4 linked regions of the Oryzias latipes genome follow. The main gene of each other region encodes a partner of the protein of the gene in region 4 in a complex. Links are inferred from orthologs where the notes say so. Each region holds a gene or a part of one and is shown on either strand. Other genes may lie near its edges.

Region 1 (6,103 bases), on a different chromosome or scaffold from region 4:
GTTCAATGGTCCAGTTCTTTGAACACAAAGGGGTTAATTTTACCATCTCAAAACTTTCTTGCAGAGTTTTGTTTCCAATACTGTCACAGGCACGATGTTGGATTTACAAAATAGGAAAAGACGTCCAAAGAAAGAAAAGTTCACATTTTTAAGGGGGTTTCAAAACTGGGTGTTGTTGAAGGTCCATGTGTCTGTTATGCTAGTAACTGTCGTATTGATCGGATCTCGTTTGTCCCCATGTTATGCCTCTGAAGTGATTCTGAAGTTTCTGAAGGGACTTTGACCAGAACTTTCTGTTCTGAGCTGGGCTGCATGCCAACTATATCAGCAGCTATCTCAAACGATTTATCTTATGACCTATTGTTTTTTCCAATAATCGCATTGTGCATTTTCTGGAAATGTTATGATATCTAAAAGTAAACTGAAATAATTTTGTGCTGATGATGTTAAAATATTGAACAAAAGGCTCATATCCATTTTTTCCTCCTGCTGTTTAAAAATGTCGTCTGGCTTGTTATACAGCGTCCTTTCCTTCATTGGTCGTCGTCAGCTTAACATTTCTCATTCTGTTGGTTGTACAAAGAGCACAATTGTATTTAATTTTGTTCATCGTTAATTTGGAAGACATAATAGAAATTCCATCCATCCATTTTCTTAACCCGCTATATCCCTGTCAGGGTCATAGAGCTCCTGGGGATCCAGTCTGTCGCAGGGCACACAATTACTCATACATGCACATCTAGGGACACTTTAGACTAACCAACTAAAAAAACTAGCATGTTTTGGACGGTTGGAGGAAGCCAAAGTGCCTGGAGAAAAAACCCCACACACGCACGATATGTTTATGTTAAGTTTATATTGAGTTCATTTGAAATGAAATGGTTTTTTTTTGTTTTTACAACAGGCAAAAATTGAAGCCATAAAGCAAGAAAGAGAGTCCTCTGCTGAAACCATGCTGAGAACTCAGTTTAAGATGGAGCTGCTAGTTTACTCCCAAGACAAGACCTACAGCAATAGTCTAAGTGAGAGCAAAAAAGAAGACCAGGACTCAGAGAACGTACCGCTAGCTCCTTACTCAGAAAGAAGCATCGTCTTCAGCCTCGACAACTACGCTACTCTTCAGGAGCTGATGGTGCATCTAAAATCTTATTACAAGGTACTTTTTTTTGAAGAAGTTTAATCTGAATTTTCGTTGATTTTAGCTAAATGTATGCATAGCTGCTATGGCTTCTATCTTTTATTCCACATTATCCTGCAGATTGCTGGCATGCGTCTAGCTGATCAAATCCCCCTGGTGATCCGTTATGAAATGCTGCAACAATCAGCCAGCCAGCTCCAGAGAGAGATGCTGCAGATGATTCAGGACAAGGAGAACTTGGATTTCCTGCTGAAGGAGGACTTTGACATCGGCAGTAAGAGGGCTACTTTGCAGAATCGCCTTAAGCGCCTTTTGCAGGCCCGTGCATACCTAGTAGAGTTCTAAAAACTTTGAAGGATCTGTTTTCTGCATCTCCAAATTACATGTTAGTGTAAATGTTCAGTTGTTGTGTTTGGGTAGTCCAGTAGAATCTGCTGTTTCTAACAGGAATGATTATCTTACAGCAGCAAAAGTCATTATATGGGCACACAGATGTTTTCCTTTTATATATTGTTATAATCACCTCGAGTGTGGAGCATGTTTTTATGTTCATTGTTTTATTTGGGCATATATATAGAGGGAAATTATTATCAGTCTGTGAACTTTGATTTTTTTATTTTTATTTGAAACAATAAAAGGGAAAACCAGACAGAGCGACAGAATCAAGAGAATTTTATTCAAAAATACATACGAAAAGCATTCTGTCTCACAAACCCAAACTCATTTAAGAACATTTCATTCTGTTCCACTGTTATTCACTGTTCCCTGCAGGGCTCTCTTGACTGGCATCTTCAATATCTGACTTCTCATCATCTAAAAGAAGACAAATTTTGAGTTTAACTTTTTGAAACAATTTTAAAATCAGTTGGCATTAAGAATAAAGTGCTCACTCTCAAGTGTCTGTTGTAGCTCCTGAATGGTGGTAAGAAGAACGTGGAACTGCTTCTTCCTCAACTCCAACTATGGTGGAACAGTAAATTTGATAGAAAAAAACAACAACTTTAAAATAAATCAAATCATCAGCGAAATACACAGAAGCTGCATAAATTCTGTTTGGATATACCTTTGCATCCACATTCTCTTTGATGTGGGACAGTTGTTGGAGCTCTTTGTCAAGCGCCTCTAGCTGCCTGAAAGAAAATAAATAAATAAAAATGAAGCAAAACTGTTGTACGCTGTTTACAAGCAATCGAAAATCTGAATTAACGGAGCCACTTACTTGAGTGTTTCATGCCTATCTGGATGCTGCTGGATTACCTTGGCTAATGCATCATATTCTGGAAAAAATACAAACATATTTATAATACTCCAAGGATGTTATTGAAAAAGGACAATAAATAAAATATGCAATCCATATCAAAATATCCTTGCCTTGGCGATTTTTTCGTATCCTCTTTGCCCTCTGAATATCTTTTTTGCATTCTGCAATCTTCTCATGTGCAGATGTGATGTTTTGTTCTGCAATGGGGGGAGGGTGGGGGGGGGGGTATATAGATGAAATCTAATATTGTAAACAGAAATGCTTCCAGACGAGAGCAATAAAACCTCACCTATATTTGAATAGATCTTCTCATAGTTTTCCATTTCTCTAAGATTCATGTCATAAACCATCAACGTCTTTCCCATGGAAAACTCACACTGAGCCAGAGTGCCCAACATCCGCTGGTACTGTGTGAATCTACACGCAAACACAAGACCACAAGGAATTAAAGTGAGATTTTTTGTTGCATATTTAACAAGGAAGACACCATTCTACTCTTCGGGTATATAAAAACACATCATGGAAATGTATAGAAACAGCCTTTTGAAATGCATGGTCAGAGTTGAAACATTGTGCTGTGTGTCACACTCTGCTTGCCATAGATTGTAGAGAAGACAGTTACTCTTCTCCTTGGGTAAGTATAACTGCATGCAACTGAGACCCGTTAACCTTCTATGGAGTTTGATAAACTAGCTTGGAATTGCCTGTACACACAACGTAAGAACTAACTAATGTGACTTTTCTTTCGCAAGAAGAGTTGTTCGTAAATGCTAAATCACATTAAAATCTGGAAAGTAAATCTTCTGATGCGTCAGCTCAGACTCAGATTCATTCAGCACTGACCCTTCCTCCGGAGTCCCGGGCGAGTTGCACCATTTAGTGAAGCTTTTAAGCAGCAGGTTGATCCGGCGGTCATCTCCGGCTCCGTCGCCATCAATAAGAAGACGTTTCCGAATGACTTCATCTTTAACAGAAACGAAAGAGACAAGATAAACTATAGGCTAGATTGCAACCTGCTAATCTGAGCTAGCACTGCAGGGCAATAAATTAGCTGCACAGTTCTCCCAACTGATTGCGTAAACACTGCTACATTCTAGAAATAAGCTATTGTATACAATAACTTAACACATAAACACTTTATTTATTTTTAATAAAACTTTATATTAAACGAAGTAACCACCAAATTACCATCTGTTACGGCCCCCATGTTTGCAATGAGCAATACTATTTCCGGTAGAGCAAGATTCTTTTTCCAGGTTAAAATCAGCGGTTTCATTTTCTACTGCCCCCTATTGGTGGACATTCAATGTGGCAATTTTTTTCCCACATTTTTGTGCTTTTTAGACTCAACAGCAAAATTGAACTTTTATTATATTGCAGAATATTATTGGACTAAAAACCAATGACAGTTTAGAATACAATTGATTTTGTTTTATTTAACATTTTGCTTTTAAAAATGTCAGCTTACATTGTAGCATTACACATTGAATTTTAAATTCTAAAATGCATTTTTTAGATTGAATGCTTAAATTGCAAGCTGAATTATCAATCGAGAATGGCACATTACATATTTTGTTTTACCATTAAACCATTCATTTTTACCATGTAGCATTTAGATATTAAAATAATTGAATTATGAAAGTTTTATCATTTTCTTTCTATTAAAATATTAACTTCCTTTACTTTTGACAGCAGCATATATAGGTTCCTTTCAAACGAAATAAACCTCATGTCAAATTAAATCCTCCAACAGACTCACTTGAATAAAACATGTAAGAAAGTCAGGTCAAACATAGACTTTTCTATCAGTCAGACTTTGCTGCATATTCGTTCTTTTCTACTTTTATAGTCATATATTAACATGACAACATTGGAGCAGAATCCAAATAAAAGAAAGTTTAATAAATAAATTAAAAAAAAAAAAAAACAACCCCAAAACATTATTAGTAACTCAAATCGTTAGCGTTTTTTTTTCAAAACCAAAGAGCCACAATGGAATCATAAAGGAGCTGCATGTAACTCCGGAGCCTCAGGTTGCAGACCTCTGTTCTATAAGAACCTTTAGCTACTAAGTGGCTATTGAGGACAAAGATTTCTATCTAGCTTTAATTTCACCATTTATAATAATTCATAAATAGTAATGTTACTGGTACGGTTATAGGTACAATACCTGCTTCAACTATAGATTTAAACAGGTTTTCATTTGGCCAACATATTTTCTTGGTCACCACTTCCTCGTTTTTTTTCTGACAGATCAATTCAGGTCTGATTTCATGTTTGTTCCTACACCTTAGAAAATTACAATGAAACTTGTTTGAAACTTAATGTGCTCTATTTCTCACCAGAACACCAGCCGTGTGGGCAAATAGAGTTTTGTTATTTAACAAAGGTTCACGCGTATATTAGATTTACAGGAAAACAGTACAAACTTTCAGCAGTTTGCCAATTAGAAATCAGAGGTTAACATATTCATGCCTAGATTTAACCAAACATTTTAAGTGGGAGTGTGTTATGGTTTTGAAAATACAAGCAAAGCACCTTTTTTAACAATCTCAAAAAGGATTTGGATACAGTCATTATGTGCAGATTCAGCACTTAGAACACCCTCATGGCTAGTGTCCACAGTTTAAAATAATTAAAATTTTGATTGCTTCAACCTCTTTTAAAATCTCACCAGAAATCTTCTAAAAAGCTTACATCAAATGATTGTGAAAGTCACTTTATAACTTTTCAGTTTTATCTGAAGGCAATCCTTTGCAGATGTTGAGCTTTGCCAAGAACTTCAAAGTTGACCCACTGATGCCACCCAATCCCGAGTGTTCTCACAGAAGATAAGATGTTCTCGCCTAGAATTTCTAGATAAACCTGGAATAAATCTGTTTTTCTTGCATCTGTTGTTGGTTCAAAAGAGAAAACAAAAAGCAACCTCAAAAATATTTATAAGGTTCTAAATTAATTAATTTAGACAAATCTCTTCACAAAATTAAAATGTGTTTTTGAAGTCCACAGTAAAAATATAAAATGATAGTAGACTGTAGGAATAAAATACCTTTTGATACCAGTCGACAGAACTAACCTGATTCTGTTAATCTTCAATTCAAAAGCAATGTCTTGTTTTCATTAGTTAATGTTTAGTCATTTTTGTAATTGCTTGTGTTGGGTAAAATTATTTAGTGGCCTTTGAGTTTTCTTTCGAGTTAACTTTTTTTCCTGTGCAACATCACTGAATCAGCTGGTTGCTTCAATGTTTCTGCTTGCTTCATTCTAACGCTGCCGCTTGTTAAATGAAATAGCACTCCCCACCAGAAACCTGCAACATTTTTAATGTAAACACTGAAAGATGCAACATTTACTAAGGAGAACTGTCTCCATAGACCTTTTGGCATAAGGCCTAGCTGTTGTATCTTTTGTTCCTTGTTCCCAAGTACGCAAATATCTCTAAATCCCCACCTGGATGGAAACACATCTTTTTTCTCTCCAGTCACCTCAGAATGTAATCCAGTTTTACATCTTGTAAATAAGACAACATGATCATTCATACATCATAAAAAACATTTCATCCAATCCAGTTTAGTTGGTTTTGGCCACCTTTTAAGATCAGGTGAGAATCAATCAGATTGAGGACAGCCTTCACCAGATATCTGGATACTAACGTAGGGAGTGGCAGACAGGTACAAGCGAACAGGTAGGTGTAGTATTAATTT
Region 2 (5,981 bases), on a different chromosome or scaffold from region 4:
TTGCAGCTAGCAGGTGTGTTGATGACATTTGAGTGTGTGTGTGGACAGGCCCCGCCCTTTTTGTACTACATTTGAACCGTACCGTAACGATAAACAACCAGTAAACTTGTCTGCTCTATGCTGCTTCATGGGCTTATCCCCCCCCTCCCACTATCACCCCCCCCTCTGACATCCCTCCCTCTTCTTCCCTTCTTTCCTTTTCCGTCCTTTCCAACACCAAAGATTTTCAAACATGGTTGAAATTAATAAAGTTTGGCCTCAATTACAAAAGGGGTTTATTCAGACATACCTTTGGTTTGTCTGAAGATTAATAACCCCTCTTGTTAAAGCAAAATATGTCCAACACAAGAGGCCCTCAGCTCTCATCTGCCTGCCTAGCTGTTGGACAGGACAAGTTTAAAAAAAAAAAAACTTAGTTTCTGACCTGCAAGAAGTAGTTTGTTTTCTTAGCAGTTTATCATCATCATCACTTCCTACTCTCTTAACCCTTGTGCTATCCTAGGCACTTTAACGTTGGGAATTGGGTCGTCTAGACCAGTGTTTTTCAAACAGTGTGCCGCGGCACACTAGTGTGCCGTGGGAGATGGTCAAGTGTGCCGTGGAAAATTGCCCTCATTAACTGATCTAAAAACATTTCCCATCTCCAGGATATCAGCTCTCTGTTCATCCAAACAGGCCCTGATAAAACACTGAGGAGTTAGGAATATAAAAGATCGTAAAATACTTTTTCTTTGCGTTTATTTTATTTTATTAAAGACATTTTGATAAGAATGACCGTACCGCGATTCAGCTGCAGCTCCGGCTGTATTTGGGAAAAGTCCCGTCCCTTTGACTGTCTCCACCAATCATTCTTGAGGGGCTTAATCACATGTCATCAGTCTGACCAATCAGAAGTGGTTAAAGTCTTCACTTCCTTGTCCCGATTTAGCTCGTAAAGTCGCTCAGTTCTAACAAAAATACCAGCTAAAGCTCGTCTTTTGCGCTGTAGCTTTCCACAGAATCCGGTATCAGACCGTGGAACAAGTGAACAAAACAATGAAGCTCCGAAAAGCGATCTTCGGCCGTTTTATGCACTACATCTCCCATGATGCATTGGGTTGTGAGAGGGACAGCGCACAAGGAGATCTGTCGTTAGACGTCTTGAAACCAACGAACACACCTAAAACTATTTTTAAATCTTCTAACTTAACTTTTATTGAATCTTTTAGAAAAAAAACAGCTGCAGTTTCCAGCTTTTTCTGCAACAATTATCTCAAAAATGCATGTGAGATTGTGGAGGGGCTGTAGATCAATACAGACTATGAGTTTATCCTTCTTTTTTAAAATTTTTGGATGCTGGTGTGCCGCGGGATTTTTTTTAAGGTTAAAGTGTGCCGTGGCTCAGAAAAGGTTGAAAAACACTGATCTAGACCCACCGACAGTGCTCTGAATCTTTTTTCTTCAATGATTTGTGATCTTCACTGGTGTCCATGGATTACATGAAATCTTTCCACCTTTATCCACCTTTGTCATGGTAGGGAGAACATGTCAATGGGAGGGGGGGTCATCTAAGATAGCACAAGGGTTAATTATGGTCAAAATAAAGGACCAAATCCGTGAAATTCAACCCACACGTATAACTGAAGTGTCCCAGCACAGGAGGAACTGTTTTTCTATCTATAGTATTTTCTCCAGCATCTTACTCCGATACACATTTCTATAATTTATCATTTTAGTCAAATACTAAAATATTTATTCCGATAGTTGCAGCTCAGTTCAAGCATAAGTTAAACTCAATGTAAAATCAGAAACAGTTTTAAGTTTTTCTGCAGGTTAAAAATGATTTTATTATAAAAAAGTATTTTACAGCTGTACAGTACAAAATAAAAGGGGGTGAGTGAGGAGCTCCCTCTGCTGGAGACGGGACGTTACTGCAGAGCGCCCGCAGCCCCCCTTAGGAGTCGTTGGGAAGGCCAAAGAGCTTGACCGTCCCCGCCTCGCGGTTGTTGTCGTACTTGCCCTCCTTGTCGTCGCAGGCGTAGGCCAGCAGGGGTCTCTTTGGGTGCCAGGCGACGGTGAAGGTGGGGGAGTCACACTGCACCTCCCACAGCTTCTCCCCTGTAGGGTGGAGGAGAGATGGGCTTTGAGTGACAGCCGAGTGGGCGGGATCTTCACCGCCTGTGCGGCTGCAGGTTTACTGACCCGTTTCCACCTCCGCGATGTCGATGAAGTGATCCTCCGACGCTGAAGCCAACATCTTGCCGTCGTGGCTGAAGCTCAGCGTCCTCACCGGCCAGTCCAGCCTGCAGCAGAGCAGAGACTCGAACAAAGCTCGCAGCAAACGCCGGACCCTCGGCGGCTCAACCCACCTGGAGAAGCAGCGCACGCACACCAGCTCCTCCACGTCCCACAGGCTGACCAGCGCGTCGGCGCTTCCCGTGGCGAAGTACTTCCCCGTGGGGTCGAACTTGATGCAGATGCAGTTGGACGGGTGAGCGTTGATGGACTGGATGGGCTTCAGCTCCGGGTAACTGCGCAGCACCAGAACCTGTTTTTATTTCAATGTGACCGGTGGGCGCGGGTCGGCATGCGACAGTGGCGCTCTGACCTCAGGATGTTGATGCAGCCGTTGCCGTTGGTCAGGAAGAACATGTCGTTGTCGTTGTTCCAGGAGATCTCGTTCACCTCGAACTTGAACTGCTCCTCCGCCCTGGAGCGGTGCGTCTTTGCGTCGATGAAGGTCACCACGTCGTCCTTGTTCCCGACGGCGATGGTCTGGCCGTCTGGACTCCAGCAGATGTTGATGTTTTCACCTGGAAACAAAGTCAGTTCAGACGTTAAAACGTTCCTCGACATCGTTCCGGGTCTTCAGATCCGTCCCGGTTACCCTTTGTGTTTACGGTGGCGATGCACTTGGTGGTGCGGACGTCCCAGATGCGGATGGTTTTGTCTCCGGACGCCGTAACAAACAGGTCCGGGTTGTTGGGATGCCAGCACAGCTGATCCACGCTGTCGCCGTGACCCCTGTAGTTGTTGTCCTTGACCTGGGGAGAAGACGCACTTCAGTGGTTGGTGGCCATTAAACGTTTAGTACCGTTCTAAAACGGTATGAGTTAACATTTATGCTGCAGTGGGTCTTCCTCCTCCACCGCTGAAGTCTTTGTCCAACACAGAAACATGAAAGTTGGAAGACTTCAGCTTCCTGATGCAAACTCAGAGTCAGGATTCAAACCCAGAACCTCACTAGCTTCAGAACCTCAGATGTGCATCAACTAAGATGATGGATTAAAGAAGCTGACGGAACATTTCATGACTTGAGGTGAATATTTTCCCCTTCAAGTAACTCCCAGCTGGAAACATCAGCTGCTTCTTTTTTTTTAATAGTTTTTATTATTACTTTAGTTTTATTTTGACTTTTTAAGGGCGATCCACAGTGACAAAACACCGCCTTCTCCTCTGAATCCATCACTTCTCTGTTTTTAAATAACCTTCCAAGGAGTTTGGCACGCGCGTCTGTCTTTGTGCTAAAGCTAGCATGCTAGCAGAAAACGAGCCGGTTTCTCACCAAGCGGTCCTTTTCCAGGACGAAAACGCTCGCGGTTTTGTCGAAAGACCCGGACGCCAGCCTCCGGCCGTCGCAGCTCCACGCCACCGAGTGAACTTTCGCCGAATGAGCCGGAAACTCCCGACTTTTGCTGTTATTTCTGAAGCTCTCCTGCATCTCCTGATAGTACTGCGACGCCATCTTGGTCCCACTGTGTGACGTATGGTTTTTAGAGGAGAGCGCGAGGGCCCCCTGCTGGCCGGAGGACCGCGCGTGCAGTTTACTCATCGACCAGTGAGTTGACGCGTTACTGAAGACAGATCTTTGAACTATTGTTACTTTTTGGGAAATTCTTGGATCAACTGGAATTATGGGAAAAGACTTTTGAAAATAGAAAAACCAGATGATCCAGATAATTTCCCCATTGATAATAAATAAATAAAGATAAAATATTTATTATTTAAGATAATTAATCTTATCTTTACAGGCATTAAACATAGACATATTCTCATATTTTTGGAGCATTTTGGAACTAAAGTGTCACAAAGAAATGACAGTATTCTTCAAATAAAACACTTTTTGTGTCACTGACAGGATTTTTCTTTTCCCTGATTTTAGATTCCAGAGATGAAAGAAAATTGCAAAGGTGGTGCTGACATCATCAGGTCAAAAATAACTAATACTTCATATGATATGTGCTTTTATTTAGTACAAACAAATAAGGCAGACCGTAAAATAATCTGTAAAATGTAGACGTGTTTTAAAAAGTGACTTCATTACTTACTTCTGCTAATAATTCACCAATGAAAAAGACAAAGACTGTTTGGTTTGATCTGAACTGCAGTTTATTTCAGGTGTGAAAATTCCGGTTTAAAAACATGGAAACTGGATGCAGAAAATCAGTGTGAGGGTTCAATTCCCCCATCAGAGGGGGGGGGGGGGGGGGGGGGGGGGGGGGGGGGGCGGGTCAAAGCTGCAGGGTTTTACCTGCACAGGTGATCTCACTCTGACTGAGGTTTTCCAGCAGCTTCTAGGGTCAAATTCTTCTCGTCTGGTTTGGGTCTGGAACCTCATGGAAACTCATGGTGACTGACGTGAGACAATCGTCCCTCACGTCTGCATGAAGGTCGATCGTTAGCCATAATGGAGCCGACTCTTGTGAAACATTAGCAGGACCATGTTTGCTCAAATTCAGCAGAAAATGTAGACAACATTCATGCAAAATGGGAGCTGTGTGTCATTCCACCCAAAAAATGTGGATCTATTTGCATATTTCTGTGCCTCTAACTCGGTCGTTTCCCAGATCTCAGTAAGAGCCGAACTTCCTGTCCTGACTTCAGGATCGTGTTTGAATCTACGGTCAAACGTTTTGGCTTTTGCTACGTTTCAGTCAGAAACACACCAGCATTTTTGTTCCAGGTTTTTGTTGCCATAGTTACGGACATCCCAGACTGAACTGTTGGAGGTCCTCAGCAGAGCTGCATCAGCTGCAGCTTCTTCATGTCCTGCATAGCCAAACCGGTTGATGCTACATGCTAGCGCTGCCCAATAGCAGCAAGTCTGGATGGTAAGCAGTGAGCTAAGGCTTGATGACGAATATTTGGACTTACAGAGAAGCACTTGTGTTCGGGTCAGACCCGGACGGAACGGCGCACTTTAGCTCACAGCTAGGATCTGCTTTAGCACGGCGAGAAAATATATATTGGTTTTTTCCCCCATTATTTTTCACAAAATGTGTGAAAAAAATGATCTTTGTTAGCTTAAAGCAGGTGCTAGCTCGCTAAAGTGGACTAAAGTGTTGCACCTCAGTTAGATTTGCGAGCGACTGACCTTTAACTGCTAGCTAAGAATGTTAGCAGTTAGCGAAGGCTCCTTGCAGGAGACGGAACCACTGACTGCATCTGAGAACTGGACTGAGTTTACGTCATTCCTAGAAAATGGTTTAGTCTGGCTCCAACCAAATGAAGTCAATGCGGACGCCATTTTTTTCAGGATGCGGCCGTCGCCATGTTGGAATTGTCAGTAAGCAGTGATTGGTCAGAGTCAACATTTCCATAGCAACAACTCTGGCCAATCAGTAGTAAGGATTTGAGAGGGCCACACCCCTTCCACTGAAAGTGAGCTCTGGAGGATCTGTCAATCAAACGCTTTGAACAATCCATGTGAGACCGCCTCCTGCTTTTGAGGCATCTGATTGGTCCGTTTATAACTTGAGGAACAGTTGTTTATTTCTCTGTAGAAGTCTGTGGGATTCTGGTTTCTTGGAGCCACTTCCTGTTTGGGATGCCAGGGAGGCGGGGCCACTCCGTCCAGTTCTCAGACACAGTCGGCGGTTGGAATGAGACTCTCATCTTAGGATTCAGAGGAATAAAACTCGGCTTTTCATGTCAAAAACAGCTGACGTTGCAGAAAACGGTCACAGAGGAACCGCACGCCGCTGCCACGCTTCATGGTGGCG
Region 3 (6,557 bases), on a different chromosome or scaffold from region 4:
CTCAAGTTTTCTAATGTAGTTTTAACATCAGGCTATACTTTTATGTAAGTCACAAAAATTCTCCCTCTGTTGCTTACACTAAAAGATCTGATTTGCCATGAAACATCAACCAATATCTATTTTGTGATTAAAAATAGGAAAAAAAGAAGCAAAACCTTTGTGCTGGGTTAAAGTGCTATTGTAAAACTTAAATGATTTTCTGAAATGTGTCAAATATGGTTTGGGAAAAAAAAAGAAGAAGAAGAATATGGACTATACATGGTTCAAGTTTATCGTTTTGAATACTGAATGGAATGATTTAAAGATGCTGCTAATGCTTCGTGTGTCTGATGTCAGTCTAAAGTCATAAGTGTTATCCCAATGAATACAAAACATAAAAATGTACTGATAAAACAACAAAAATATAACCAAAATCTCTTATTTTAAGTCATAACAGAAGCCTAAAGGCCAAATCCTTAAGGAACCTGTTGACAAACATGACTTACAACAAAGGATATAATAGTTTCGGATTTTTTATTAGTTTTAGTTTTTATTTCGTTTTGAATTTTTGTTTTTAAATTTATTTAGTTTTAATTAGTTTTTAGAGGCAGCTTTACTAGTTTTTATTTTTTGAAATTGCTTCGTTTTAGTTTAATTTTTATTAGTTGTAGTGTTAGTTTTAGTTTTTTCATTTTTTTTGTAAATTAGGATATTTGTCAGGTGCATGATTCAAAATCACCAGAATAAGTGTTGTATGATAAAAAATCAATCAAAGATACATTTTGAAACACTTATTATTCAGAGGACACAAGTACAACCATCCTTAAATTAAAATACAACAGCCGATAACAGCATTACGTTATCTGCTCTTGCTTCTTTTTCGGGGGAGGGCGGGCGGCAGGCTAGCTTGTAGGTAGTGTTGATTTGCGTTTTTGTGTGCGCTTTTTAAATGTACTTTTCGTAGGGTTTTTTCCCTTTGAGGAGCGTTCCACAAATTTTGTCTCCTGCTTCGACTACAAGGCACTTACTTTTGTTATATTCAAAAAAGTCCCAAATAGGACTCTCCCGCTTTCTCCCAACTTTTAATGCAGCCATCACGCTCATGTAAATGTCTATGACCACGCTAGCCGGCAGTGTCTGACAGACATCATGTGATGTCACAGACAACGTGATGCCGTAAGGGTCAGATACACAGTAAAACTAGCAGCGTGAAGTAAATAGATTTTATTTCAACCCAAAAGACTTATGTATTAACAAAGACGAAAACAAAGTATTTTTTGGGGTTAATATTATTTAGTTTCAGTTCGTTTTATACACACAACAAACAGTTTTAGTTAGATTTCGTTTTTTATAAAACTCTCGTTTTTATTTTTATTTCAGTTAATGAAAATGTTTTTTCAGTTCTAGTTTTAGTTTTTTCGTTCGTTTTCGTTAACTATAATAACCTTGCTTACAACTCATATTGACATTTCGGCTATTGTCCCTACAGAGAAAATTGCTCACCACAAGCCTGGCTGTAAGCATTCGCTTGAACGAACAGCACATAAAGGGGTGGAGGAAGGTGGCGGGCAATCTCGGTCTGTTTCTGAGTTTGCTCAAACGGCATGGACAAATACTCCTGCACTGGGATAGACGCCTGGGAGAAGATTTAGAAGAATATTAAAAACTAAAAACTTAAGATCAAGTTCAAGTTGAGCTTTATTTTTTAATACCTGCATGATAGCATTAAGTCCCGGCTGCAAACTTCTCAGATGCTCCTTCTTCACCTCAATGCTCTTCTGGATTTTCTCCTTTGTAGACTGAGACTCCTTATATTTCTCTGCCAATCTGTATCATACAGACGTTTTAGCACATATCTATTTCAGGAGAATGAAAAACAGTAACAACAACAGAGCAAACCTCTTCCTCTGTTCAAGCTCCCAGTCCAGCCGGGCCAGTGTGAGCTGGTGTGGATCGTCTTTTGTGAGCTGAGGCCTGGAGATCTCTTGAGGAGCATCCCGGTAAAACTCCTCCTCACTGACCAAGTCTATTTCTTCATGCTTTGACCTGAGGCAAAAACAAAAGGATATTTTTAACCCAGGGTTGTTTCTAAAACTACTAACATTGTTGTGCCATGTCAATAAAAACAGAATAAACAGGTCAAATAATTAAAAAGCATACATTTTTTGTCGGAGTGGTGGAAAAGTCACAAAGTTTTAAGCGCTTTAGAAAACAATAAAGAAAAGAAATTAAGCAATCTGGATAAAGTCCTAGAGAAGACACAAACTAAATTGGTTCGTCTTTATTAACTTTCACATAAATATGCCCCCCCCCCCGGGTTATCGGCTCTTTAAAAGACTCAGTTGCAACACCAGTAGAAAGCAATTTCAGGTCAGCAACTTAAATATTGTGATTTTATTCCTTCCTAAAGCAATTAAAGAACTAGCAATGTGAAATAAGTGAACAATCTAGTATTTTTCAGTACATACATTTGCAAAAATGTAATCAGATAACAAAAAAAGTGGTTTAATTTTGTGTTAGAACCAGTTAATAAATTCGGAAGGACTAACTTGAACTCCAGACATTTGCTGATCTCCTTCTGAAGATGCATGACTTCATACAGCAGGTTTTGCAGCTGAAGGTGCAGCACATCCACCTTCTGTTTTGCCTAGGAAGACGAAAAATCAACGATCAGGCATTGATACAATGGTAACATTTTAAACACAGTTAATATTTAAACAAGTTGGCAAACAAGACAAGGATTCGACATACAAAAGACCAATAACAAAAACATATAGCATAGTGATCAATCAAGACACACAATAAGAGTGACATTATCGGATGATAAAACAATTTTTGAGTGCATAAAACAACGTTCACATTTCTCTTAAGACAGCAATGCATTACAGAGACGTGTGGAAGTTACCTCGTGCGTCTGGTCTCGTCCTCTCTTTAGCCGCATGTGGGCCAGGCGGTTGAACTTCTTCAAGGTCATGAAGAGGATGCAGCTCTGCATGCGCTTCTGCTCAACCTCGGCACACTGAAGCAAAAGAGAAAACACAATTATTTATTAAAGACGGGGCTTACAATGTAAAGTCCCTTCACCATGATGGTGTATCTGTCAAAAACATGACATTAGAGACATTAGATCATATTTATTGGCAATGAACACTTGGCAATAACTGATAACACTTTGACCTCAAAAATGTCATAACTACTGCAAGCTTGATGATTGTCAGAGTTCAACTAGATACTTTTAAATAATTATTTACCTTACTTTACTTTCTATGCTAAGGCTGATGAAAATGATCATTTGGCAGGGACATTGGCGTGAACTGTAAAGTTGAAAGAGCATACCCCCTCTTTAGCTCCATTAGCTTTAAGCTCCTGGATTTCACTCATGAGAGAAGCCAGAGTCTCACAGGACTCTTTAAACTGCAAGTAGTCGTGTTCAGGCTCCCTGCCGTCCAACTCCACCTCCTCATTATACACGCGAACATCCTAAAAAAAGAGAGACATTATTGTATTAAAACTCTTATCTATGAAGAATGTCACTCCACAGATTTATAACACTACTACTTTACTGTGATCGCCATTATAATAATAACAAAGTATAATAAATATACTTTGTAATAACAAAGTCAGAACTCGTGAGAAACACTGGTTGGGTACCTGCTGCTCGACCTCCCCTCGGCCTCGCTTCATCTCAGTGGTTCCCCCTTCGTTACGAAGAACCTTCGACTTGCGTTTCTTTATAGAGTCAGATGACATGGCTGACTAAATGTAACTGCACACTTATAACTCTGAAAAATAACATATGTATACATAGATGTATATAGTGAGAATAAAACAACTTCGATCGACAAAATATGCTAGCATGCTAAACTGTTAGCACCATCATGGCCTGTGACTAATAACGGCTCACAACCGCTAGCTTCTACGTCCACAATATCAATTTACTGTTTTGTTCTTATTTTCTGCATTTGAAAACTTGCTTGCGTACCTTATAAGCGGAAAGGTCCACGTTAAGAGGCTAAATTACGAACAGGCAGATGTTATGGATCGCACAAAGCCTTTCAACGGAAGCCGAAATGACTGAAAATCAATGGTAATCGCTACACTGCCCCCTACGGTTCCTCTTGGTATTACTAATACTGGCTTGATTAAAAAATAATCTCCGCAATTTTTTAAACATTTTATACAGTGAACGTAAAATTGTCGTTAAAATAAGAATGTATATATTTTTTCAACACAGCAATATTTTATAAATTAATTTTAAGTTGGTGTGCAAATCAGTGAACATACATATCCCCAAATAAGAATAATTAAAAAACAAACCTCCACAAATATTTTGTATCAACATATCTATTTTTGGGTACAAAGGACAACAAGAAAGACAACATATAAACAGAAATAATTTATTTACAAATATCACATTAAAAACTACATCTAAAGATACATGAAATGAACTGGTTTATTTTTTTTAAGACAAAAATAAAAGCACCTGAAAACAAAATATCTTTTAAGGTACATTTATTTTGCCATATCTATCAGACTTTGCAAAGATGTTGGCACCCAAGTCTTTTCCCCCTGCACAAACACAACACCTCTGTCTATGTAAATAACAATGCGGCCAAATGTGTAGAGCTGTTTCCCCTCGTGCCGTTTGGCCACTATGGGCATGAAAACAATGTTGTTTTCCTCTGCTTTGGCCTGAATTAGATCCTTAAAGTTAGTTGGCACACCAGAACCGATGCCTCTTTGAGCAACACTTTCTGCATCCCGGCGCTCTTGCAAGGCTTCATACTGGAAGTCTTTCCGTCTCTCCGTCTGTGTGAGATAGGCAATGTTCTCTCTTGCACCAGGCTGCATATATCCACCTGTGAAAAGGAATAACGGACTCAACATAAGTGAAGCAAAGATCTCTCAAACTTTGCTTTTATAGTTTGAATTAAGGTAGATCTTTGGTTTTCATATTTATGAAGTAGACTGTGTGTACACAAACCCATTCCTGATGACACTGCACGGTTCATGATGTCCAAAGCCTCATTAAATTTCTCTTTAATGAGAGGTTGAGTCAACAGAATGTCACTAAACAAGCCTTTCCAGCCGAGATACCACTTTGTGATTTCCTCGTAGTTAGGACTATTGCTCAGCCATGAACACAAAACCTAAAAGCCAAAAATAAAAATAAAAAATACAGCAATTTCAGAGGATTTATTCAACCTATATATTTAAGAAATACGCTTTACGTATTTTACTATTTGTTATGACATTCACATACCTGTAACCATTTTGGGAAAAAGTTCTTGTCAAAAAGGGACACAAGACTGGAGGGAGACAACATTCCCTCCCAGTCCATCACCCAGTGAAACGGCTCCATCTGCTGCTGGTGCGGGTTGATGACCAGCTCTTCCAGACATAAAGCTTTGGCAGGAAAGAGAGATTTTCACATGTGAAATACATATATGTATAAATAAATCTGTGACAGGAAATGAAAAGGTATAGAAGTCAGTGATCCAGTCAGTTTTGCAACGCCTAAAGCTAGTGACTAAAGAAAACCAACCTAGTTTAGGGATGATGTTTTTCACCATGAAGGCCTCCCATGCACCTGCTGTAAAAACGTTCTTCCATGGCTGAAGAATGAGGCGCGCTGAGGCATCACTCGGATGCCAGCGCTGCAGAGCGTTGGCAAGTTTGCTCCTGATAGGTGGGTAGAGAGGCTCCAGGCGCGACTGGAGTAGAGGAAGCCAAGGGTGAATCCAGGAGTGGATGGGCACCGTGTCAGTTAAAGGATTCCAGTTATCTACCTAATAAACAAGAGAAAATGTAGGGAGATTTTGACAGGTGATACACACACTTCAGATGCAAGAAAAAGTAGAACAAAAAAAAAAAAAAAAAAGCATGTAGGATTGTTATAATTTGTGTGCCTTGCCTCGCGCTGCAGGCGGGGTAAGATCAGCTGTTCCAGTAGGTGATCCAGGATCCACTGAGGCAGAAGAGGAGCCCACAACGTCACACAGTCCACCATCGGTCCAACCATACGGGGCTGCCACCCGGACACACACATACGCATCACAGGGATCCACACTTCCCATAAAAGTCTAAGCAAAGAGAGACACATGCAGTTAAAAATCAAAATGTGAACATTTACATGTAAAAGTGAGTATTTTAAACAGACCTGTGGTAAGGATCCATGTTGGAGTCTGGGCCACTGGAACGAAGATCCCTGGATTCAAGGATTGCTCTCCACTGACCAATGTCTTCCAGACAGTATGCACTGTCCTACAACAAAAAACAGTCTTAACTCTAGTATCTTAATTGAGCAACATGTTGAAAATAAGGTGTTTGTTTTCCCCCCCACAGAAATAAAAGCGTAATAATTTAATTAGAATAATTAAAAAAAAAAAACCTTTAGAGGCTCCCATGAGTGAAGTTTCTCCTTAAGTAAAGGATGAACAACTGCCACAGCCAGGTCTGCCAATCCCATCATTTTATACTCTTCATAATAATCTGTTTGTAAAGTCTCAAAGATCTGGGCACACTCCTGGGCACAGAGAGGTGAGAAAATAAACAAATAAGTATGTTCAAAATGATTA
Region 4 (6,637 bases):
GTTCATTTATAAGTAACAGGTTGAATCGTTAAATTTGGTTTGAGAAAATACTGGCAGCAATAATGTTTTCATTTTTTCACTCAAACTTCCTACAGAAATCAGCAAAGAAGGCTTTTCTGTTCAGTTCCTTCTGTTTTACCGTTTTTATTGCTGCCAAAAGTCGGTGCTAAATCAAACTTTGGTTTTCATTTTTACAACCAGTGCAAAATCCTCAATCAGGCCCCAGTTGGGTCTTAAATTCTATGTTTTTCAGCCTTTCATGCTGGAATCTGCATTCATCTTGTGTCTTCAGGTCCAGTCTGATCATAAGGAACCAAGTTTTACTTCTGCAGGCCTATTTCTAAATATTGACACCACTGTCTGATGTATTTTAAGATTCTTAGGTTGGTTGAATCATTTAATCATGTTGTCATGTCTAATTTAAATTTCAACACCTGCAAATTCACCTATGCAACAAAAACCAACAGAAAAACTTTGGGATTTTGATCACAACCACATGGAAAATAAACAAGACTAGTTTGATAAAAATCCCACAGCTATGGGGGGGGGGGGGGGGGGAGGGGGGGGGTATCAACCAGGTCAACTGTAGATATCCTGGTTTGCAGAATATAAAAGTTAACTAATTCCAGCCAGTGCAAAGAACAGATGCATTTCACTAAAGAATGTTCCTGTTTTTCTATGTTATTATTATTATTCATCTTTGATTTCTCCTCCCAAAGATAGCCTGCATTTGTGCTTCTCCTCGGTGTTTCTGGCAGAAACACTCGCTCATCTGTAGGGAAATGAGGAAAGCTGGAGCCTCACCTGGCGGCCCGCAGGGCCTTCTTGCTCTCAGCGGTTGCAGGCATGTTGAAACGCTCCGCCCTCTTCTGCAGCCTCTGCTCAACAAAAGCCCACAAATGACACGTCACTGTCTGAAATTCATCACAAAACCCTAAAAACATGCTTGTTCCTTTCAAACCCCAAACTCTTCTAAGCTGCAGGCTCTGAGTGTCTAATAAAGGATGATGCGTTTTCACCAGGTAAAAAAAGGCCGCCGAGGACGGTTGGAAGACGCTGGAAATCAGGATTAAAAAAATAAAATAAAACAGAAAAAAGATAGACAGAAGTACAACTACTGTACATGTGAGAGCACCAGAAGCCTCAGAATCTCCCTTCTTCTGAACATTTATCCAAGGCAGCATTAAGAATTGGTTTCTGCTTTAAAGGTTGAACAATGAATTTTAAATGACACATTTGGGAAAAGAATAGTTTTCCTCCATGTGGGACAATAAAGCTGAGAAAAGTTTCTTTTTTTAGACAATTGCTTTATCCAAAACACCTGACAGTAAAGACAGTAACCAATAAAAATCTAAGTGAGAGCATGAACAGCCATACAGATTTGTGCGTTTGGCACCAACCATCCCCGTGTTCACTGCGTCTGACCAGCGGACATTTTCGGATCTAAAGTGAATTCAAACCTACGCAGCAACACAAATGGACAGACTGGGCTCTCAGCACTGGCCTTGATCGAGCAGAAAATGACTTCTTGACGGAACTGAAGAGCAATAATCTACATGACAGGATGATGGAACTGTTTGAGGAAAGAGAGGAGGGTGGATTTTGTCATCAAATAATCTCATCTTCTGATGAGTGAACATCTAAATATCATAAATAAATTCCTAATTGATGTGGTTATGGTAGCGGTAATGTTTTGTGCTGGCTGTAGTTGCATAACAAGATTTGTTTACTGTTTTCTGTATTTAGAGGCACTGATTGTGGCTGCAGGAATTTTCAATCTGCAATGCAAAGCTAGTTTCTGCATCATAATATGGTTAATGAGGCGTTGAGTGATTCAGACGTTGCACTACTGAAGGCCCAGGTGTGTAATGCACGGTCCGCCACTGATGTTATCCTACCACTATTGTTATTTATTTTTTTGCAAAGTCACCATAATCCAGTCCTTATCAGAGTAAGAGCATATTATTCATCAAGTATGATGAATAATATGAATGGATGGAGTCCTTTAAAAAAGCAAAATATTTAAGTTTAAATAACTAGGTTGTGCTCTTATTTGGTTAAATTTAAGTTACAGATTCGTTTTTCCACTTTTTAGGAAAGATTTGCTTTATTTTTCAGAAAAATAGATGTTTTTGTATTAAACAGTTTGGCTTTAGCATCTACCCAAAGTGAGATTTCAGCAAAACTTAATCTAAAAACACCAAACCAAAGGAGCAAACACGAGCACAAAGGTGAAGTCTGAGGTCAACTAGTGTTTTTCTGAAGCTTTTCTCTTCTAAAATTAGATTTCAGAGCTCAGACGTGATCTAAAATCTAAACCAAGGTTTATTTGTGAATGAAAACGACTCATACTTACTTCACCAGCAGACAACGGAGGAGAGATTTTCACCACTTTCTTGTCTTCAGACCTGAAGGTAGAATTTATTTTCTCAAAAATTAAAAAAAAAACTAAGAACATGACAGTCCAGCAGATCCAGCTGAACTCTTTTTTGATGTTCTCATCTGAGCAACATCGACTGTAATTCCCTGAAAAGTTACTATCTTACAATAATAGTTAATGATAAACGATAACTTTATTCACACGCAAAGAGGAATCTGAAAGGTAAAGAGGAAAAAGCACATTTGTTGTACAGTTAACTTACTCTGGAATTGCGATTGTTTCAGTGTGGTTGTCCTCCTTTATGCTGTTGGAGCTCTCAACTTTAGTGAATTCCTAAAAAGAAAAGAAAAAAAAACAGACATACTGCTTTTGTGAAACAAACAAGCAGAAGAAACAAACCTGAACAATATTTCATGATAAAATTTGGAGTTTATTCAACTAAAAACTGTGTGTGAGCTGTGTCTGCCTGAAGAAATGTAATCAATAAAATGAATAGATTTGTGTATTTGACAAATCAATATTGATTTTCTCAACAAACATTGATTGAACGTTTCTGTTTTATTGCTAAACTAGAAGAGAACGGATAGAATAAAAGACATTACCGGTGTGTCCTCTGCCAGAACTTCATCAACATCCACATCGTCCTCTGTGGTTTGGATGACAACACAGACAATATGAGCTGGCAGGAAACAACATTTGGTTGATGTGCAAAAACGGGTCACCCGGTTCTCACCGTGCTCCTCCAGGTAGGCTTGGAGCCGAGCGATCAGCTCGCCCTTGTTTCCCTTGGTTTCCAGACCGCGGGCGTCACACTCTTGCCTCAGCTCAGCAAGCTGAAAGGGAAGATGAAACCTCAAATTAACAATTGGTTTTAAAATTTACTGACGTGATTCAAAAAAAGTAAAACATAGATCAGCCAACACCTGCTTGGAAATATTGGTGTAATTGAAACTATAAAAAAATATATATATATTTTTCCATCTCCACATCAGTAACCTTCTTACTATTCCATAAAACTCTGTAAACGAAAGGACGGTTCTTTTTTATTAAAGATAAATTTACCACGATCTGAAAGCACCTACATAAACTGATTTCATCATCTGTTGAACTAAATCAGTTTAAATTGATAACAATAATTTGTGCATTGTTAGAATTTTATTTTTCCTTTTATATATATACATATATATATATATATATATATATATATATATATGTATGTTACGATTACTTATTTTCAAAATGGTCGTTCATCACATTTGCTTTGAAAAGCAGAAATGCAGGATTGAGTTAAGTTAAGTAAAAAAAATCTCTCATTTTTATTTTGTCTTTCCAAACAGCGGTTGTGGTTCGGTCCATTTACCCACCTCTCGATTTTTGCTGTAACTGATTGTTTTCATTGTTTTACGTCGAACTTTATTACTGGTGGGTTGAAAGATAGTTTCTCAGATTATCCGTTCATTTCCCTCCGCGTTTCCTTCGTCGTTCTTTTAGCCCGGATTAGCTCAGAACACATGCCGGTTCGTAGACTTAAGACCCGGAGAACACGATTTTCTGCAGCCCGCCGCCACCCCGCTAGCTGGTTCCGGTGTAAATACTGACTTCATCATTTCCACCACAAAGAAATTCACCCAATGTCAGGAAAAACGTATTTTTAATTCTACCAACCTTCAGCTTTTGGAGCTCCACCACTTCAGCCATCTTTCTCTGTTGATGTATTCCTGCCGTCCAATCAGAGTCGAGCTTTTCTTCCTCTGTGCTCCTGAACAACGACGTCATTGATCACAACGACGTCATTGATCACAGCGCCTCCTGTCGGGCATATTAACGCCGTGCAGATGGTCCTGCTGCATTTTAAACAAACTTGTAGAGATTTTGTTCAAAATAAAAATTAATAAATCGCCGCAAAATTTTGTAAAAATAAATGTAAAAGACGTGTTAAGACCTTAACAAACTTTTTATTATATAAAATCATGATTAAAATGCGATTTTATAATACTTATTCAATTTAGCCTCAGATAAAAAGTGTTTACTAACATTTTTTATCCTTATTTATACTTTTTTCGTAGACATTCCTCACTGTTTTCTTTGTTCTCAGTTCATTTTATCTTATCTTTGCCATATAGATTGTGGATGTTTTTTAGAAGTTAATTTTCTTCTTTTATTTTCTTTACCTGGAGGAATAATGGAAGCAGTTTATGCAGTGGATCCACATTCATGTATTTGAGTAACAGCTACATTTAAATCAGTTGACATCATGCTGGAACTTTCTAAAACATGTATTTTTTTCAACCACATCTATAAAACACAATTATATTACTGTCTGATGAAAAAATTATTTGCTACATCCATGTGGCAAATAAATAAAGACTATTTTTCCTAATTTTCCATGAATCATCAGGTGTGGATCTTCACAGATCTAAAATGTCAGATAGGCCTAAAATGTCACCTTCATTGTTTAACACATTGGTTTCAAAACTATTAACTCACCTGACCAGGCCATGTTTGTAAAAAATAAATTCAGGCTGGACTGAGGAATCAAAACCATCTACAAGTCTGAGAGGTTTACAGAGGAATGCAGGTGCTTGTATGAAATGTTTGAACAATTAATGAGAGTTTAACCAAAAAAAAATAAAAATAAAATTCTAGTTTAAGCAGTTTTTCTGTTTTAGTACTACACACAACAGAGGTAAAACAGATTTTGTTCCTTTTTATATTTATGTTGCAGTTCTCGTGGTGAGAGAAAAAAAAATTCAATCACAGTACAACAATACTGAACAAAAACTGACAGCATTGACCTTGGCTCTTAAAGAGGGTCAGCTGACACACGCCACCGGCTGAAAGAACCCAACACCAGCGGGTCTCAGGCGTGGATGGACTGAGACACGAGGCGGGGTCAGGGTGAACACAAAACAGATGAAACGTGTTCAAACTGGATTTGCTGTGAATGCTGACATTGTTCAAAAAGAGGTTTAACCCAAGCTGCAGCTCGGCATACGATACACAGACAAAAAAAGTTCCAATAGACTGACTTTCAAGTTGTGGGCATGAAGGACAAAGCCGGATGAATTTAGGGAGTCACAAGTGCTTCCATAATCCTCATTATGGTTGCATTCCTTCCATTGTTTCAGCAAGAATGTGTGAGCGATTGTTCTAATGACACAGAAACACAAAGCTGCTGCTGCACGTTAATGTTTAGTCATCAAACCTTACCCCTTCACATTACATTAAGATGCACACTGAAGCGTGCAGCAGGATACAGCGGACAAAGCTACACAAAACCTTCCAAGGAGTCTGTGCGGATTCTGTGTATGAGAGCACTTCCATGACATCAAGCGGGAAAATCTCTCAATGCATCTAAATTTAAACAGTTCGGTGAAGTCTTGGTTAAAAAAAGGGCCTAATTGTTATACATTTTTCTTTACAATTGTGAAGATGTATCTATGAGAGGTTTAGGAAGTTACAACCTTTCATGAATAAAAGCATCACCTGTTTTTTGCAGGGATGCAACAATACACCGTCTTTACAATGAAGTGGTCAAATGTTTGGGTTTTGTTTCGGTTTGTGTTTCATAAAACAACAACAAAAACACTTAAAAAATCAGAAAAATCCTATTTTTAGTTTGCTATTAAAGCAGGAAAAATCTCCCAACTGTCTCATACTAAGATTGGTGTAATGTAACTAGGCAATAAATAATAAATCCTTCTTAATTTTAGCCCAATTTGACACTTTAATGGTACACAATAAGAATGTACGCTTTCCCCAGGATCGGGTCCGTGGTGCATCACACGGTTTGGATTGAAATGTATTCTTGCTGTTTTTTTAGTAGTTGTTCTTTGAAAGTCAAATTAAATTTGTTTTATTCATCCTTGGTTTTATATACAAGAAAATGAAAACATTAAGAACGTTTTGAAGGCTGTGTTTAAAGCATTATTTATATATATTTTTATGTTTAAATTATATTTAAAAAACTCCAACGCCTCCTCCTCCGTCTATTCAAGTATCCTATTATTTATCAGAGATTTCTTACACACACAAGACATTAAACCTACTCTGTTACTAACAGTAAGTTTATATTTATACTGTGACTGAGACATGTGTGGTTTACGTCATTCATACGTGTTTCTTGCGTTCGTCATTCGTCGATAGACACAGATGTCCATTTATGGTTTTGGGCGACAGGTCTTTACATGAATTCAGTTTGAGTTGTTTAAAATTTTTTGGTTGCTTGAGAATTACACTTATATGAACTACACAGTT

What was found.
Region 1: sarnp (region 4) and thoc7 share a complex: the UniProt entries of both Homo sapiens proteins name them as parts of the transcription/export (TREX) complex. The link is inferred for Oryzias latipes from reciprocal best matches to the Homo sapiens genes SARNP and THOC7.
Region 2: sarnp (region 4) and thoc3 share a complex: the UniProt entries of both Homo sapiens proteins name them as parts of the transcription/export (TREX) complex. The link is inferred for Oryzias latipes from reciprocal best matches to the Homo sapiens genes SARNP and THOC3.
Region 3: sarnp (region 4) and thoc5 share a complex: the UniProt entries of both Homo sapiens proteins name them as parts of the transcription/export (TREX) complex. The link is inferred for Oryzias latipes from reciprocal best matches to the Homo sapiens genes SARNP and THOC5.

Annotation. Positions count from the first base shown.
Region 1 is NC_019863.2:16,702,155-16,708,257, reverse strand, and holds thoc7 (THO complex subunit 7 homolog), read right to left. Parts: upstream 3,696-6,103; 5' UTR 3,676-3,695; coding exon 3,588-3,675; intron 3,364-3,587; coding exon 3,243-3,363; intron 2,817-3,242; coding exon 2,689-2,816; intron 2,597-2,688; coding exon 2,510-2,596; intron 2,416-2,509; coding exon 2,358-2,415; intron 2,269-2,357; coding exon 2,202-2,268; intron 2,099-2,201; coding exon 2,029-2,098; exon of another isoform or gene 1,952-2,028; coding exon 1,890-1,951; 3' UTR 1,794-1,889; downstream 1-1,793. Other genes in the region: interferon-induced GTP-binding protein Mx, read left to right, coding at 905-1,156, 1,259-1,483. UniProt on the Homo sapiens protein: Component of the THO subcomplex of the TREX complex which is thought to couple mRNA transcription, processing and nuclear export, and which specifically associates with spliced mRNA and not with unspliced pre-mRNA.
Region 2 is NC_019868.2:29,381,498-29,387,478, forward strand, and holds thoc3 (THO complex subunit 3), read right to left. Parts: upstream 3,760-5,981; 5' UTR 3,725-3,759; coding exon 3,545-3,724; intron 3,024-3,544; coding exon 2,867-3,023; intron 2,793-2,866; coding exon 2,588-2,792; intron 2,511-2,587; coding exon 2,349-2,510; intron 2,283-2,348; coding exon 2,182-2,282; intron 2,098-2,181; coding exon 1,934-2,097; 3' UTR 1,794-1,933; downstream 1-1,793. UniProt on the Homo sapiens protein: Component of the THO subcomplex of the TREX complex which is thought to couple mRNA transcription, processing and nuclear export, and which specifically associates with spliced mRNA and not with unspliced pre-mRNA.
Region 3 is NC_019867.2:13,552,582-13,559,138, reverse strand, and holds the start of thoc5 (THO complex subunit 5 homolog), read right to left. Parts: upstream 4,094-6,557; 5' UTR 3,962-4,093; intron 3,762-3,961; 5' UTR 3,730-3,761; coding exon 3,631-3,729; intron 3,460-3,630; coding exon 3,316-3,459; intron 2,999-3,315; coding exon 2,885-2,998; intron 2,627-2,884; coding exon 2,529-2,626; intron 2,026-2,528; coding exon 1,879-2,025; intron 1,807-1,878; coding exon 1,692-1,806; intron 1,616-1,691; coding exon 1,483-1,615; intron 1-1,482. Other genes in the region: tfip11 (tuftelin-interacting protein 11), read right to left, coding at 4,492-4,838, 4,964-5,129, 5,243-5,385, 5,525-5,768, 5,894-6,062, 6,140-6,243, 6,371-6,505. UniProt on the Homo sapiens protein: Component of the THO subcomplex of the TREX complex which is thought to couple mRNA transcription, processing and nuclear export, and which specifically associates with spliced mRNA and not with unspliced pre-mRNA.
Region 4 is NC_019865.2:25,903,702-25,910,338, reverse strand, and holds the start of sarnp (SAP domain-containing ribonucleoprotein), read right to left. Parts: upstream 4,173-6,637; 5' UTR 4,157-4,172; coding exon 4,046-4,156; intron 3,214-4,045; coding exon 3,114-3,213; intron 3,027-3,113; coding exon 2,983-3,026; intron 2,714-2,982; coding exon 2,643-2,713; intron 2,409-2,642; coding exon 2,357-2,408; intron 879-2,356; coding exon 805-878; intron 1-804. UniProt on the Homo sapiens protein: Binds both single-stranded and double-stranded DNA with higher affinity for the single-stranded form. Specifically binds to scaffold/matrix attachment region DNA. Also binds single-stranded RNA. Enhances RNA unwinding activity of DDX39A.